Linked DNA regions of Notamacropus eugenii. The protein of the gene in region 1 purifies or fractionates together with the protein of each later gene. This does not show direct contact. Links are inferred from orthologs where the notes say so. Each region holds a gene or a part of one and is shown in the gene's direction. Other genes may lie near its edges.

The links.
Region 2: the proteins of CDK8 (region 1) and MED7 purify together in Homo sapiens (affinity purification with mass spectrometry; 7 studies listed by BioGRID and IntAct, counting the BioPlex papers as one, with this or other methods). This does not show direct contact. The link is inferred for Notamacropus eugenii from reciprocal best matches to the Homo sapiens genes CDK8 and MED7.

What each region holds. Positions count from the first base shown.
Region 1 is NC_092876.1:193,788,159-193,796,482, forward strand, and holds the start of CDK8 (cyclin-dependent kinase 8), read left to right. Parts: upstream 1-4,876; coding exon 4,877-5,004; intron 5,005-5,396; exon of another isoform or gene 5,397-5,519; intron 5,520-8,324.
Region 2 is NC_092872.1:386,117,262-386,125,194, reverse strand, and holds the start of MED7 (mediator of RNA polymerase II transcription subunit 7), read left to right. Parts: upstream 1-4,539; 5' UTR 4,540-4,674; intron 4,675-7,933. UniProt on the Homo sapiens protein: Component of the Mediator complex, a coactivator involved in the regulated transcription of nearly all RNA polymerase II-dependent genes.

The sequences.
Region 1 (8,324 bases):
ACTGTTCATAATCTACGACTATCCTTTTCTGTAAGGTTTTACAAACAAGCTTATATTCTAACCTGGTTTTGTCATTGGCTGATATATCTCTACTTCTCAAATAGATCAAGTATTTGGTGCCTGAGGTGATTTTTCAGCTTCTTTGATTTCAACATAATGACAATTGACATATCAATTGTGCTTTGGTGTGAAGTTTTGATCATTGTATGTCTTTTCCTATATCCATTTTCTATTTTATATGTCAAAAGCTTATTGAAAAAAGTCAAGTTGGAGCTGACTTTTTAAAATTGCACATTCTATCTTTTTTTTATTCTTTCATGTAATTTTATATTACTTTTGATCTTTGCTCTAAGAAGTTAGAGGTTGACTCTACTCAGAGAGCTGATTTAGCAATGGCTCCCATATCAGGAACAAGTTCTTTCTTGCTTGTTAAACTATAATCATTTAATTTTTTTGGTGATGTTATTTGGTGTTCATCATGCCCAGTGTTTTCCAAATCTTTTCTCTAAGAAAGTATTCATGTCTACATTTGATAATCCCAAGCTTTTGGGATAAGAATTCATTGTTTGACAAAAACTGCTGGGAAAACTGGGAAATAGTGTGGCAGAAACTGGGCATAGACCAACATCTGACACTGTATGCCAGAATAAAGTCCAAATGGGTACATGATTTAGATATAAAGGCTGATACTATAGACAAATTAGGGGAGGAAGGGATAGTTTATTTGTCAGATTTACGGAGAATGGAGGAATTTATGACCAAAAGATACAGAACATTATGAAGTGCAAATTGGATAATTCTGATTACATTAAATTGATAAGTTTTTGCACAAAGCTAATGCAACCAAGATTAGGAAGGAAGCAGAAAAGTAGGAAAGAATTTTTACAACTAGTGTCTGTGATGAAAGTCTCATTTCTAAAATATATAGAGAACTGAGTCAGATTTAAAAGAATATGTCATTCCCCAATTGATAAATGGTCAAAGGATATGAACAAGCAGTTTTCAGAAGAAGAAATTAAAGCCATTTGTAGTCATATGAAAAAATGCACTAAATCACTATTGATTAGAGAGATGCAAATCAAAACAACTCTGAGGTACCACATCATACCTATTAGACTGGCTAACATAACAAAAAAGGAAAATGATAAATGTTGGAAAAGATGTGGGAGAGTTGGAACACTAATTCATTGTTGGTGGAGCTGTGAGCTGGTCCAACCATTCTGGAGAGCAATTTGGAACTATGCCCAAAGGGCTATAAAAATGTGCATACCCTTTGACCCAGAAATACTACTTCTAGGACTGTATTCCAAAGAGATCATAAAAATGGGCAAAGGACCCACATGTACAAAAATATGTATAGCAGCTCTTTTTGGAGTGTCCAAGAACTGTGTGTGTTTGTCCTTTGTTGCTGAAGAAGACCATGCCATCAGAGAAATAATGACATGACTTGCACTTGACTTTGTTTTGAGTGAGGGAGGGCTGTGCAGGTTACCAGCCTCACTTCTCCTTCAGAGCCATCTGAATCCAGTGAACAGATATTCATCAGGATGACTAGAGATGACCCAGTTGGGGTTAAGTGACTTGTCCAAGGTCACACAGTTAGTGAGTGTCAAGTATCTGAGGTGAGATTTGAACTCAGGTCCTCCTGATTCCTGTACTGGTGCTCTATCCACTGCACCACCTAGCTGCCCTCCTTGGCCAAGAACTAGAAATAAAGGGGATGCCCATCAATTGGGGAATGGCTGAACAGGTTGTGGTATATGAATATAATGGAATACTATTGTGCTATAAGAAATGATGTACAGGTAGACTTCAGAAAAACCTGGAAAGACTTATATGAGCTGATGCTGAGTGAAGTGAACAGAATCAGGGGAACATTATACACAGTAACAGGCAGTATGCAGACTATTTTTAATGGACTTAGCCTTTTGTAGCAATGCAAGTACCTAAAACATTTCCAAAAGCTCATGATACAAAATGCCACCCATATCCAGAGAAAGAAGTATGGAGTCAGAATGCAGAATGAAGCAGACTATTTTCTCTTTTGTTTTTCTCATGGTTTCTCCCATTCATTTTAATTCTTCTATGCAACATTACTAATGTGAAAATGTGTTTAATAATGTATATGTAGAGCCCATATAAGATTGTATGCCATCTTAAGGAAGAAGGGGGGAGGAAAGGGAGAAAATTTAAAACTTATGGAAGTGATTGTTGAAAATTGAAAACAAATAAATCAATAAATTTGAAAAAAAAAATATTCCTGGCGTATAGGTGTGGGATTTCTATGGAGTATATAATTCTTTGTCCTCTTGCATCCCTTACTCCTGAAATATATTTTATCCATTCTTGCATAGTTCCTCCATTCTCATGTTTATGTTGATATCACCATGTATGAATATAGATGATAATTTAATTTGAAAGGTCTTTTTGTATCTGCAAAATTTCTTTACTTCTCAATTCTCTGCAACAATATTGATGTATAAATTACAATAATTTTCATGGTGGTATTTTCCTATACATCTATTTTGAGCACTGCCATATAAGATAATCAAATGTGCTATGATATTTCTTGTTCATCTTTGAATGCAGAATAAAACCAACTAGGCCAGTTCTTTAAGTGCCTTTCCATGGAGAATCTGTGATCCATCCTTCCATTTAACTACAACTTTCTATGTCTTCTGGTTCCATCAATAGTGAAAAGTTAAAATTGCTATGATTCAGCTGTTTTAGTAAGTGGTCCTTGGATAAGGATCTAACATTCTGTGTTCAAGTAGCTAAATTAATGTTTATAGCTGTGCGATTCACAGAACCATTTTTTCCTTTTCTCTAAAACTCTGTCACCCTCACAGCAGAAGCAGAAGGGGGCAGCACAGGATTGAGGACTGTTTTGTCTTTTATTTTGGTTCATAGGTTGCTATGGGTGAAAAATTCATCAACAAGAAGTCTGTTTATTGGTACTGACCCTCCCTATATACCTCTATGACAGTCTTTACAAAGGAGAAACAGTCTATGGTTCTTGTCATGTTGGAACCCTTTCCACAATAGTAGAAACTGCCACGTATTGTCCTCCACTGGCACTGACTTTATGAAGACAGGGCCACCTCACATTATCAAGGCATTAGAGAATGGCTCTGTGGAGCTTCATTTTGTTTTAACTCTAAAAAAGGCAAATAATATTTGCACTATCAACCTTGCCAGGCTGGTTTTTAGGAATGTTCTTGGTAAACTATGATATGGGTAAAACTATAATAACTTGGTAAGATATAATAACAGACTATGGGCTTTTATTATATTTTGATTGATGGGAACATAGATTTAGAGCTGGGAAGAGAAAACGGTGAGGACCCTGAAACCAGTCTCCATTTTCTACAAAAGAGAAAACTGAGGCACGGAGGTGTGACTGACCCAGGGTCACATAGCCAGGAAATATCTGGGACAGGGTTTGACTCTGCTTTGGGCAGGACTCTGGACCTTTACTTTGATCATCTGGGAAATAAGATGATTGAACTAGGTGACTTCTAAAGTCCAGAGTGACAGGAAACTAGCTCAGTGGCTAAAGCAGCTGGTCTGGAGGCAGGAAGACCTGAGTTCAAATCCCATCGCAGACGGTTCCTAGCGTCATGATTCTGGGCAAGTCTCTTAACCTCGGTCTGCCTCAGTTTCTTCAGTGGGGATAATGATCACAAAAGTTTATAGCACTTCCTACGTGCCAGGTACCATGCTGAGCTTTAGAAATGTTTCATAGACACTATGCGAAGCTTTACAAATATTATCTCGATTGATCCTCACGACCATTCTGGAAGTAGGTGCTATTATGATCCCCACTTTGTGGTGAGGATTAAACGAAATAGTATTTATAAAGCGCTTGGCACATCGCATTAAATAAATACTTATTTCCGCACTTCCTACTAGGGTGCCTTCCAGCTCTATACAGGCACGTAATCCTCGAGAGGACTACAAATCCCAGGATGCAATAAAAACTTCCCTCCGGGGGCGGAGTCATGAAAGGGGGTGGGAGCCGGAGGGAAGGGAGGAGCATGCTGCTTTCTGGGAGTCGTAGTCCCTACGCCTCGGACTAGTCCACGTGGTCGGCCCGGCACCAGCTGGGGTTTGCCGGCTGCCTCACACTCTCACCCCACCGGCTCCGTGAGGCTCGGGTGTCGCCGCGAGGGGCAGCGAGCTCCGAGGCCGAGAGCTGTCGGGGAGGGGGAGGAGGAGGAGGAAGACGAAGAGGAGGAGGAGAAGGGAACCTGAGGGTTTGCGACGTTTTTTTGCGACAGCCGCGGCCGCGTTCCGTGATTTCCCCCTCCCCTCCGGTCTCGCTCTCCCTCTCTCTGTGTTTGTGTGTGTGTGTGCGTGTGAGTGTGTGTATGTATGTGTGTGTGTATGTGTGTGTGTGTGTGTATGTGTGTGTAGATACCGGCTGTTGTGTGGTGCCGCTGCCTCTCTGGGTGAGTGTGCTTGCGCGTGTGAGTGGGTGAGTGTGTGTGTGAGTGGGTGAGAGAGGGAGTGAGTGTGTGAGGGAGAGGAGGAGGAGGAGGAGGAGGAGGAAGAGAGCGGCAGCCTCTGCAGCCGCCGCCGCCGCCCCAGCCAGCCCGGGGACGAGGACCGAGAGCGGCTCGGGCTCCGGGCTCCGGGCCCCGGCCGCTTCCCCTTCGCTCCCCGGCTCCGTCTCTCGCCCCTCCGCTGGATGTCCCCGGCTCCGGCGCGGGGCCTCCTCCTCCTCCTCTTCCTGCATCAGCCGGGGTGGTGCCGCCGCCGGCGGGCGTGAAGCGGGCGGGACCCCGGGGGCCGCGGCTGCCTCCGCTCCCCCCCGGACCCCGGCCCGGGCCCCGGCGCCTCCCCCTCCCCGCCCGCCCGCCCGGAGGCTGTGACAATGGACTATGACTTCAAAGTGAAGCTCAGCAGCGAGCGGGAGCGCGTCGAGGACCTGTTTGAATACGAGGGCTGCAAAGTTGGCCGCGGCACTTACGGTCACGTCTACAAAGCCAAGAGGAAGGACGGGTGAGTGGGCCGTGCGTGGGCCCCGGTGCGTGCCCGCCCGGGTGCGCTCCAGCAGGCCGGCGGGAGGGCCGGGCCGGGCTGGGGCGTGGGGGGGCGGCCGTGTCACCCGCCGGCTCTGCCCCGCAGCCCTTCTCCCACGCTTCCCATTCTTCCTGGTCCCCTTAGCCAGGTCTGCGCGGAAGGGGGGATGGGGGAGGAATCCAGATAGCCAGAAATCCCAGGTGCCGCTTGTGCTTGTTTCCACCGTGGGTAGGGGTGGCGGTGGCAGCCGCGGGAGAGGGGCGTCCCCGGCCCTCGGCAGCTGTGCTCTTTGAGGAGGGGTCGGCAGAAGCGCCTCTGGTCGGAGGGCGGCGAGCTGGGTGTTAGAAGTTGCATTAGTATGCTGTGCTTACCGTTCTGGGGACTTTCCCATCCCCCTCCCGAGTGACATCCATCAGTCTGGAGAGCGGTGCAGTTTAAGGGCAGCTGGGGTCGCCTCTCTGCTTCTCTCTCTCTCTCTCTCTCTCTCTCTCTCCTCTCTCTCTCTCTCTCTCTCTCTCTCTCTCTCTCTCTCTCTCTTTCTCTCTCTCTCTCTCTCTCCCTCTCTCCCTCTCTCCCTCTCTCCCCCTCTCCCCCTCTCTCCCCCCCCCCCTCTCTCTCTCTCTCTCTCTCTCTCTCTCTCTCTCTCTCTCCCTCTCTCCCCCCTCTCCCTCCTTCCCTCTCTGCCTCTCCCTCTCTCTCTCTCTCTCTCTCTCTCTCTCTCTCTCTCTCTCTCTCTCTCTCTCTTCCTCTCCCTCTCTCTTCCTCTCCCTCTCTCTCCCTCCCTCTCTCTCTGTCTGTCTGTCTCTGTTTCTCTCTCCCTCCCTCTCCCTCCCTCTCCCTCCCTCTCCCTCCCTTTCCCTCCCTCTCTCCCTCCCCCTCCCTCACCCTCTCCCCCTCCCTCTCCCTCTCCCCCTCCCTCTCTCTTCCTCTCTCTCTCCCTTCCTCTCCCTCTCTCTCCCTCCCTCTCTCTGTCTGTTTGTCTCTGTCTCTTTCTCTCTCCCTCCCTCTCTCTCCCTCCCTCTCCCTCTCTCCCCCTCCCTCTCTCTCCCTCCCTCTCCCTTCCTCTCCCTCCTCTCTCTCTCTCTCTCTCTCTCTCTCTCTCACTCACTCTCACTCTCTCTCACCCTCTCCCCCTCCCTCTCTCTCCCTCTCCTTCCTTCTCTCTTTCCTCCCCTCAGTTTGTAATCGTTTTTTACCTTTAAATTCGGGTTTTATTTCTTGGAAGGAAGGCGGCAAAGAAATGTTGATAGCGGGAGCTGATTACTATGATCATCTCCTACGTGTATGTGGCACTTGCCATTTAGATTTCATTAGCCCATGGAGAAGCAGTGAGTTTTTACATAGAACAATGGGGGTTTGATGCAGGGTGGGTGGTGGGAAATGACTAGTGACAAATAGGGACTATGTTCTATGCCTAGGTATTCCCTCCTCCCCTCCCCAAATTTAGGAGCTGGAAGTGAACTTTAAATAGTCCGTTTACTTGAAAAAATTTTTTTTCTTGTACATAACTTAATTAAATCTATGACTGGTAATCCTCTCAATATAGCTACTCGAACTGACAGGTGAAATACTCCCTTTTTCCCTTTGTCAGTAGATGGAATATTTTATAACATCGACAAAAGAGAAGACAGTTGTCATTTGGGGTGGAAAATGTATTTGATTACTCCCTGTTTTCTTTTACATGAATAAATATCTTCCCAGCCTGCGTTCCACTTGGAATTGTTGGGAAGAGACTATTCAAGTCTTGTTATATAAGCTTTGGAATTTTATTAAAAATCAACATAGGAATACTTGCATATCCCCATCATTTTTGATTATTTACTACTTAACCTTAAAAATAGGGCAGCTTGATTTTTTCTTTCTATTTGAAAAGCAGGATGTGATGGATCAATCAGGAATGTCGGCACAGAAATAAGCATTTGACAAAACTGAAATAAGTCATCTTCGAATATTGAAACAATTAAAAACAATTTGAATATTCTGCATATTGAAGAGAAAGTACTTATTCAGCATTTTTCTTACCTTTACTGAAATTTCTTTCAAAAAGAATGTGAAATAGAAAGCCCATGAGGAAAAGTGCCATAGTTACTGATTTGTATGTATACTCCAGCAGTTTTCTGGAGAGTTAAAGCTTTTTATATATCTGCAATCAATCTGGAGGGATTTCAAAGCTTGATACTATTTATTGAATATATTTAAAATTCTGCCTCCCCCCATTTTAAAAACAGAATAGTCAGTTCAGTGACATTTAAGAAAACAATTTCTGGATATATTGCTTACTCTATTGTCCAGTTAGATTTGTCATTAAAATATGACCAGAAGAGTATATATGCATTTTACAAATCATGCTTGATTAATTTCTCACAGACATTTTCCCAAAAATCTCCTCTCCCCACAGTGTAAAAGTTTGGAGAAATTAATAAAATTTTGAACCCCAGGAAATTGGAAAGTCTAGTTGTTTTGATCAACTTGTCATGCATTTTATAAAATTCTACTGACTATGAATTACTCTTTTATTCCTTAAGAGGAACCAGCTACATTTGCAAGAAATTGCCAATGTATGCTGATATAAATATGCAAATTTGTGGCTTTAACTATGATTACACGTTTTATTAAACCAGCTGTATTACAGTATGCTTGAAGGAGATACTTTTCAACATGTTTTTATGTCTCATTGTCATGTTTTAATTTATGTTGTTTTAAAAAGATAGAATTACCATAATTTAAAAACAGTTTTAAAAAGAGTACCTTGTATAAATTGTTTTTTTAAAAAATTTTATTGTAACAAAAGGAATACTGACTGTATTTTCAAAAGGAGATTTTTTTTATTTAAAATTCTTTGAGCTTCCTTTTGTTTATATGATGAGCTTTCAAAGATGTATTGAATATCGGATTTTAACCTAAGATTGTTTCAGTTTTCCAGAGGTTCATTTTTCTCTTTGACTTCTTCCAGTAAAATATAGTATTGTGTCTCTCTGAAGTTATCTTTTTATTGTATGTCTGTTTAATGCAATGTAATTTACCCTTCATCTTAGTGATGCGAAGTCTACAGCCATTAAATTTTTTAATAAAATAAAGATGATTAAGTAATTTTTGTTTTTCAGTATTGATTCTACAGCTTACATTTCAACCTGATCAAAGAGCTCAACAAATGATAGGCACAAATTTGAGAAACATGATTATTGCTATGAAATTTTATCTTTACTGTGTATAGTAAGATGAAATTAGTTTTGTTTAGATATTTTAACACCTATTAAAATGCAATTATAATTAAATCTCGTAACTATTATATCAGATTA
Region 2 (7,933 bases), on another chromosome or scaffold:
GTATTCATGTGTGTTCATGACTATAAATAGTACACAGAGAATTCTACAAAGAAGATAAGAGGTATAGAGTTCAAGAGATGATAAATTCTCCCTCTTGAGGCTACTGCTTGTACCCTGAGGGACTAGGAGTACTGATGACTGTGAAGAAATGGCTGGCAATACGGATGTGGTATTGTGAACTACATCCAGTAGAGTAAGATGCCTCCTCATTGTCAGTTAGCCAATAAACATTTATTAAAGAACTACTATGTGGTAGGCACTATGCTAAGTATGTGCATGGAGGAGGATACAAAAAAAGGAAAAGGAAAGGAGCTCACCAGCTGATGGGGGAAGAAAACACACAAAAAGGAACTAAAAGGGAGCAGAATGTCTGGATGCAGGACATGAAGACCCTTGGACGTCTACTGAGTTCTTCCAGTCAGGGCACCAAATCTTATTATTTTTATCAAATTTTTCCTCACTTAAAAGTCCCTTCTCCCTCCTCCTTTAGCCTTATGATTAGCTTCATTTCAGTCATCCTCTGGCCTATACCTTAGGGAGTCTTAGGTAGCCGAGTAGATAAGGATAAAAGTGAAAGTAGCCTAAGGCCCACTCATTGTTTTGGAGAGGCCTCTTCCAATTAAATTGAGGAATTCACACACCTACAATTTCTAGGGTGGGGCATGACTTTGACTTTTAGACTTTGTATGACTTCAACTTTTTCTGGTCTTCCCTAGAACTACTTCTTCCTCCTCAGCTTTAACTATTGACGTCCCTATCTTCCTTTAAGTCCTTTATTTTATTGGAAGCCTTTCCTAAAATCTTTTAATTCTAGTGCCTTTTCTCTGTTAATTATTTCCTATTTATTCTGCATATATATAACTTCCTTTGTACACATTCGTATTCATATTACCTCTTCCAATAGATTGTAAGCTCCTTGAAGGCAGGCTGTCTTTTGTCTCTTTTTGTTGCCCTAGAACTTAGCACTGTGACTGGCACATTAAGTGCTTAATAAATATTTAATGATTTAATGACTTTCACACAAATAATAACCATTACCTGATTTATAACCTAATTCACTGAGAACATATTTGAAAGTATATTGATGTATTAGGAATAAATATATTAGGCTGAGCAACTCCATTTGGTTTTCAACCTCCATTTTATGACTAAATAGTCCATATATAAGCTATTTTGTTCTCCCTGTAATAAGATAAGCACTTGAGTGGTATAGTTTGGCCCACAAATCTGTTAAATGATTGGGGGCCATCTCCAGGGGCCATCTATATCATGCCACTGGACCCAGATGGCTTCAGAGGAAAATAGTGAGGCTGGTGACTTTGCACATCCCTCCCTCACTTAAATCCAGTTCACTTTCAAGTCATGGCATCATCTTCCTGAAGTCATTGTTATCTTCTAGAAAAGGACAAAGAGCAGCAAGTAATCACTAATGACTATTCCCCAAATCTGGTAAGTAACAGTTAAGTACCTGCAAATTGCATCAAGTATGTTGTCCCAAATCTTCCAAAAGTCCCAACGTTTAGTAATGACATTAGGAAACTAAAACTTTGATTGGTAGTTCTGTAATGGATAATTTCATCAGTAGCTTAGGTAACTAATCACCAGTCAGAACATAGACATAACTTGGGAACTCCCTTCACCAGAACCATAAAAGCCCGCAGCACTAGAGACCCAAGCCTTCACCCTGCTCTTGTGTTTCAACTAAGGCAGGCTTCTGAACATTCTCTCAAGAACAGTGCAAAGTGCCAGTTATGGAGACTCACCAGAAAGCCACCTCCTCAGGAGCAAAGGAAGGAAGGAAACTTTCCATGAGCACTGGGATGAGACTTAAGACCTTTAGGAATCAGGTTGCTGGCTTGTTCCTAGAGGGGTTGATGATATTAGTGTATTATCAGCCTATTAATAAGCATAATAATGACTAAATGTGGTGGCAGTAAAAATTTGGGCAAAAAATACTAACCCTTAGCATTTGCTTCCTGTGTTCTTTGTTCTTGGCATGTGGAGTTAAGGATCTCTTACTCAGGACACAGCTGGCCTCAGACCTGGGTTTCTGAGGGAGCAGCATGGGGGATTCCTTCTGCTGGTCCTCAGGCCAAGGTTCCTGCCCAGAACAAAAATAACAATAGCACTAGCCTAACAATTTAAGATTTGCAAAGTACCTCCTTATATATTGACTTATTTGATTCAGGGGCTGGAGAAGGTGCAAGCTGCAGTTAAGCAGTGTCCAGTAGTGACCAGTGGGACAAGGCACAGACAAGAAGAATCCAGGAAAGTCCAACAGCATCCAGTCAAAACTTCACCACCAAGAGCAGTAGAAGCAGCACCAAAACGAACAGATCTGCAGGCTTTTGGAGAGGTAAATATCCCTTTCTGGCTTCCCTTCCCTATGAGTGCCTTGGTCTCACATGTGTTTCCTATATGAGCTTTCCTATTTGTGATCTCTGTTTGTGTTAACTCTTCCCATTGACGTCGGTTATTAGTGGGAAAGTTTGAACTGTTCATTTATGGAAATGTTTAGCTGCTACTTTTTTTAAAATTATATTTCAGCAATGTTTTTGCTTTGAGCTTATCATATACTCTGGGTGACTATTGAAAGTAAATACATCATTGAGGGTTTGTGGGCCATAGTCTTAGGAATTCAGGTCTTCCCTATACCTTGAAATTCTGTGGTAGCCAACCTCTCCTGAAGGGCAGGGACTGGGTTTTGGTCTTTCTTTGTATGCCCAGTGCTCATCCTAAGTGGGTACCTGCATAGACTTTGGCCTAAAGGGGCCAAGATCTCCCAGTGCATCTTGGGTTATCTCCAGTCACCCTGATGAATATCTGGTCACTGGATTCAGATGGCTCCGGAGAAGATAGGCTGGTGACCTGCACCACCCTCCCTCAGTCAAAACAAAGTCAAATGCAGTCATATCATCATTTCTCTGACAGCATGGTCTTCTTCGGCAATGAAGGATGAACACAAATGCTTAGCATAGTTCCTATCACTCAGCCTCATAGATGTAATTTCCGGGTAATTAATCATTTTATTAATAATGCCAGCATGTTTATTAGTAAAAGATGGTCATTTACCTATTTCTCTTGGACCAAAGATTATCTTGGTTGCGGCTCAAGCTTGTATGCCCATTGGAAGAGGAATGTTTACAAGGGTAGCCATCAATTCTGATTAGCTAACAGTGAGATTATGTGGATTTCAAGGAGGGGGCTCATCCAGGAACTTTGATTATGTCACTTCCTTCCTAAATTACTGCCTTGGGCAATCTATTCAAAGAACTGATTCCTCACCCAGTGCAAAATAACTTCTCCAACCACATAGGGTCTGAACAAGAAAGTTCAGTCTCATTATCAATAACACTCCTTGAGAGACTGAACTTTTAAAATCAGGACTTAAGAAAAAAGGGGGGAATGGCCCCAAATCATTGATTATTAACAATGATTTCTCTCACTTTTATTGACTGACTCCCCCTGGGGTACTACATTTTTATCCCCTACTAGATTTCCCTGCTTTTCCAGCCTCTGGGATATCTTTTTGGATTCCCCCACTTGGATTGCATTTTATATTGGTGGTCATCTTTCACTACAGAAGTAGTTGCCAATTTTTGTTTGTTTGTCCTGAGAATCCTTTTCACCAGGAACAACAAAAAAGAAATGTGTTGTGAACCCCTAGGATAATTTAATACACTACCCACTGGACCACCTAGAGGTTTTGAACGGTGCCTACTGGGTTGTATAATGATAGCTAACATTTGTGTAGTATTTGCTAAGCACCTTACAGTCCTCCCACTGGATCCTCACAGCCACCCTGGGAGACAACTTCACTTTATAGACGAGGAAACTGAGGTAGAGGTTGAGGGGCTTGCCCACCCTTGCCCAGTTAGCGCATGAAGCCACACTGGCACTCAGGCTTTGCTGACTCCAAGCCTGATTTCTACCTCTGCCTTGAAGGCAGAGACCACCCATGGGAGGAATTGGGATCCACAGCTCTAGGAGCACCTATTTTATGTTGCACACTGCGACAGCTGCGCCTACCTGTAATGGAAAGGACTGGTGAATTTCAGGGTCTGAGGCTGCCTTCGACCCTAAAGGTGTGAACACAGGCAGGTCACGTGATTTGTTTTCTCCTCCATAAAATGGGGAGAATGCCGACTGCGGGGACCCGCCTCTCATGGGGTCTCAACGGAATTCAAAGGAGTTTAACAAAAGTGTGTCTAGTGTGTACCAAACTTCAGAGCTAGAAGAACAATTACTGTTTTTTTAAAGTTTTTTAAATTACTGAATTTTTACATTTTAAAGTATTTTTCAAAGTATCTCCTTTCCATGATTTTTCCCCCACTATTTTTCTTTCCGATTTTAAATACTAGCGGCCGTATCAGCCGTGACTTTCGACAAAAGGTTCCCTTGATTTGCCTCTCTGGAAAAATTCCCCCCAAGAACTTTCAGTCCCGCAAAAGTCCCAGGGAGCATGCGCAGGCGTGGGAGCCGCGCCAGCCCCTAAACAGACCGTGTGGGGGGAGGGTTAGTGCCTTAACGGACGGCTCCGGGAGCCAATCAGAAGGCGCTCCATGGGGGAGACGGGGAGGGGAGGCTCTTCTTCCTGACTAAGGCGGCCGGAAGTCGGCGGCCATAGACGCGGTTTATCCGCGACGCTCTAGAAACTGCGTGAAGTAGTGGGAGGTGAGTGGCGATGTCAGCTGGGGACGTGGGATCTCGGCGCGGTTTGGGTTTTTTTCTCCCGGGGGATTTCTCGGCAGGGAAAGGGCCAGCGGAGCTGCAGGCTCCCGGCTGTGGGGAGGGCGCTCGGCGTGCTCGCCCCTGCCCTTTTCTGTAAACATCCCCGCCCCCTCCCCCCCGATTTACCCGCCCCCTCGCGGCGCCCCGGCTACGGCGGGGGTCGCGGCCCCTCCCCGTGGAAGGCCTGTGGGTGTGGGAGCTGGGCCCCCCCCCCCCGCCCCAGTCGGGCGGCCCCCTGGACCCCCTGCCGAGAGGCTCGTCCCTGCGGGCCCCCGGAGGAAAGTGAGACTTGGAAGGTTTGGGGACTGTGCATTTTCCCTCCCGGTGCCTGCGGTGTTCCTCCTCCTCCTCCTCCTCCTCCTCCTCCTCCTCCTCCTCCTCCTCCTCCTCCTCCTCCTCCTCCTCCTCCTCCTCCTCCTCCTCCTCCTCCCCCTCCCCCTCCCCCTCCCCCTCCCCCCCCTCCCCCTCCCCCTCCCCCTCCTCCTCCTCCTCCTCACGTCCTGGCACCCCCCGACTCTCCTCTAAGACCCGCCAGCCTTAACTCGTACCTTTAGTGCGAACATTTTCCCTCTGTGTCTCGGCACCCCCCCATCTCTTGTTTGTACAGAGGTGTTTGTGTGCCCCCCCAACTCTTGTTTATATAAAGGTGTTCGTGTGCCCCCCCAACTCTTGTTTATACGGAGGTGTTCGTGTGCCCCCCCAACTCTTGTTTATACGGAGGTGTTCGTGTGCCCCCCAACTCTTGTTTATACGGAGGTGTTCGTGTGCCCCCCCAACCCCTCATCGAATGCTCCTGGAGGGAAAACATTCTTGGTGTTCCCGTACTTAGCGCACACCTTGGCATAGGATCGCTGTTGACTTTTGCCGCCGTTTTGTCAGAACTGAATGAAACTCATTTTAGAGTGTAGAGGTGGTCGTCATAGCCCAAAAAATCGGTATTGATGCTGGTTCTTTAATGTTTCCCAACCTTGTACGTTAGTGGTCCCGTTTGGTTAAAAACAGCTCAGCGAAGCAGACGTTTATATACCTATTTTACAAAGGAAAAAGGAGCTCTGAGAGGTTAAGTGATTTACACGGGGTTATTTTGGTAGTGAGTGGCTCAAATGAATCCACAAGCATTTACTTCATGAGAACTTGGGGATTCAGAGACGAAACAAAATCGTTTCCTACAAACTTAGGTCTAACTGCACGGGACGTAAGGGGCGCACCAGCAGCTGGAAGGTGGTGTTTAATTTAAGGAGGTGAGAAGAGACTCTGCATGAGGACAATCTTTGAAAAAAGCAATGGTTATAGGATATAAAGGGATATTTTTAATTCACTTGACTAAAACCCCTTTACTGATTAAACTTTAGCTTGGTGGTGTTTAAAGCAATGTTTTCAAGATCACACAGGTAGAGCGGGAATTAAGAGTCTAGCAGTGTTTTTGTTTTTTAATTTGCAAGGTGTAGTGGTTTTTACCATTATGGCCTTGTAGCTTAGAGGTAGGACTTTATCTAGATAGGATTTCTTTGGCTAACTGGTAAGGAGACAGGCAGTTCCAGGTGAGGGGGAAAAGAGTATGTTATTTTTGGGACAGTGAGGAAATTTACCATACCAGTTGCGGATGCTTTCAGGCCCATCACCTTGTAGTTATAAGGAGCATTGGTGAGGGAAGACTTTGGCTAAGATCACATAAATAAGTGCCATCTGAGACCTTGAACCTGTGTATTCCAGTGGTGTCCACTGCCTCTGTACCCTTTTTCAAAGACACCTTCAACCCTTTCCCATCCCAAAAAATAAAGAATGTTGGACTTCTTTTATTTCCTTTTCATATGTGAATTCACATATTGCTAGTATTTTTATTTGATTTTGATTCAAGAAAACTTCAACTTTGGAGGGACCTCACCCTCAGTGGCCATCTAGTCCAACCGATTCCTCAGAAGGAAGTCCCATAAGTAGTCGTTAAGAGCCTTTTCATGTTCAAAGCACTGAACTAGTCGCCAGATGCTGGTGTTTTATATATACGTATACACACACACACATATATACACACACATCTATATTATATATTATATATATAATTATATACAGTATATAGTATTATATATATAAATAATTAAAACTCTTTGCTGTTAGGGAGCTTAAAATTCTCTGGTCTAGAATTGCCAGTTGGTTATTGGATATGTCTGACTTGAATAATCCAAATAAAGGCACTTCACACTAAACATTTCCAATACATAATTCTTTATCTTTCCCCAAACTTAACTTGCTTTCCTATTTTTGTTGAGGGTACCCCCAGTCCTTTAGTCCCTAGTTTACAGCCTCTTAGTTATCCTCAAGAAACACTTCATTGCCTCTTTATGCTTTTGGATAAATCACTTCACTTTCTTGAGTTTATTATCTCCAAAATAAGAGGATTGGCTCTGAAGATGGCCTCAGAAATCTCTTAGGGCTCTAGATGCATGATTCTATGATTCTGAGTTGCTTTTCCCATCTAGTCAGTTGTTTTGTTTTTTCCTTTTTCCACATCTCTCAGATCCTTTTTTTTCCCCCTGCTCTATCATGTAGTTCAGCTATTCATTCTCTCTTAACTGTATGATTACAATTGCTTCCTAATTAGTTTTCTTGCCTCAGATGTCTTCCCCCTTTCCAATCCATTCTCCACACAGCTATCAAAGAGATATTCTTAAAGGAGCAATGATAGTCATCTGCTTAAGCTTCATTTGGTCCCTTATTGCCTCTAGGATCAAATACAAACTTCTCTCTTTGGACTTTAAAGCTTTTGGCAATCTGTATCCAGCCTACCTTTCTGAACTTATTACCTCTGTTCACACACTTTATAGTCCAGCTACACTGGCCTACTTTCTATTTCATCTTCATCCTGTGCCTCCATACATACTGTGTATGCCCTTTTCACTCTACTTCTAGAATCCCTAGTTTCCATCACTTTGGTTTGTTCACCATCTTCTACATGAGACCTTTCCTGGTATCTACAACTAGTAGTACCTTTTTCCCTCCTCTTACCTATCCCTAAATTATATATACTTTATGTTTGTCTGTTAGAGTGTAAATAAACCCTTCCAGGGCAGAGATGATATCTCTGTATCCCTAACACCAAGCAATGTTTCTGATATACAATACATATTAATGAATGCATATTAGGGAAGGTCTGTCTTGTACAGAATAAAGGGCTCAATATGTGTTTAATGAATAAATCCTAATT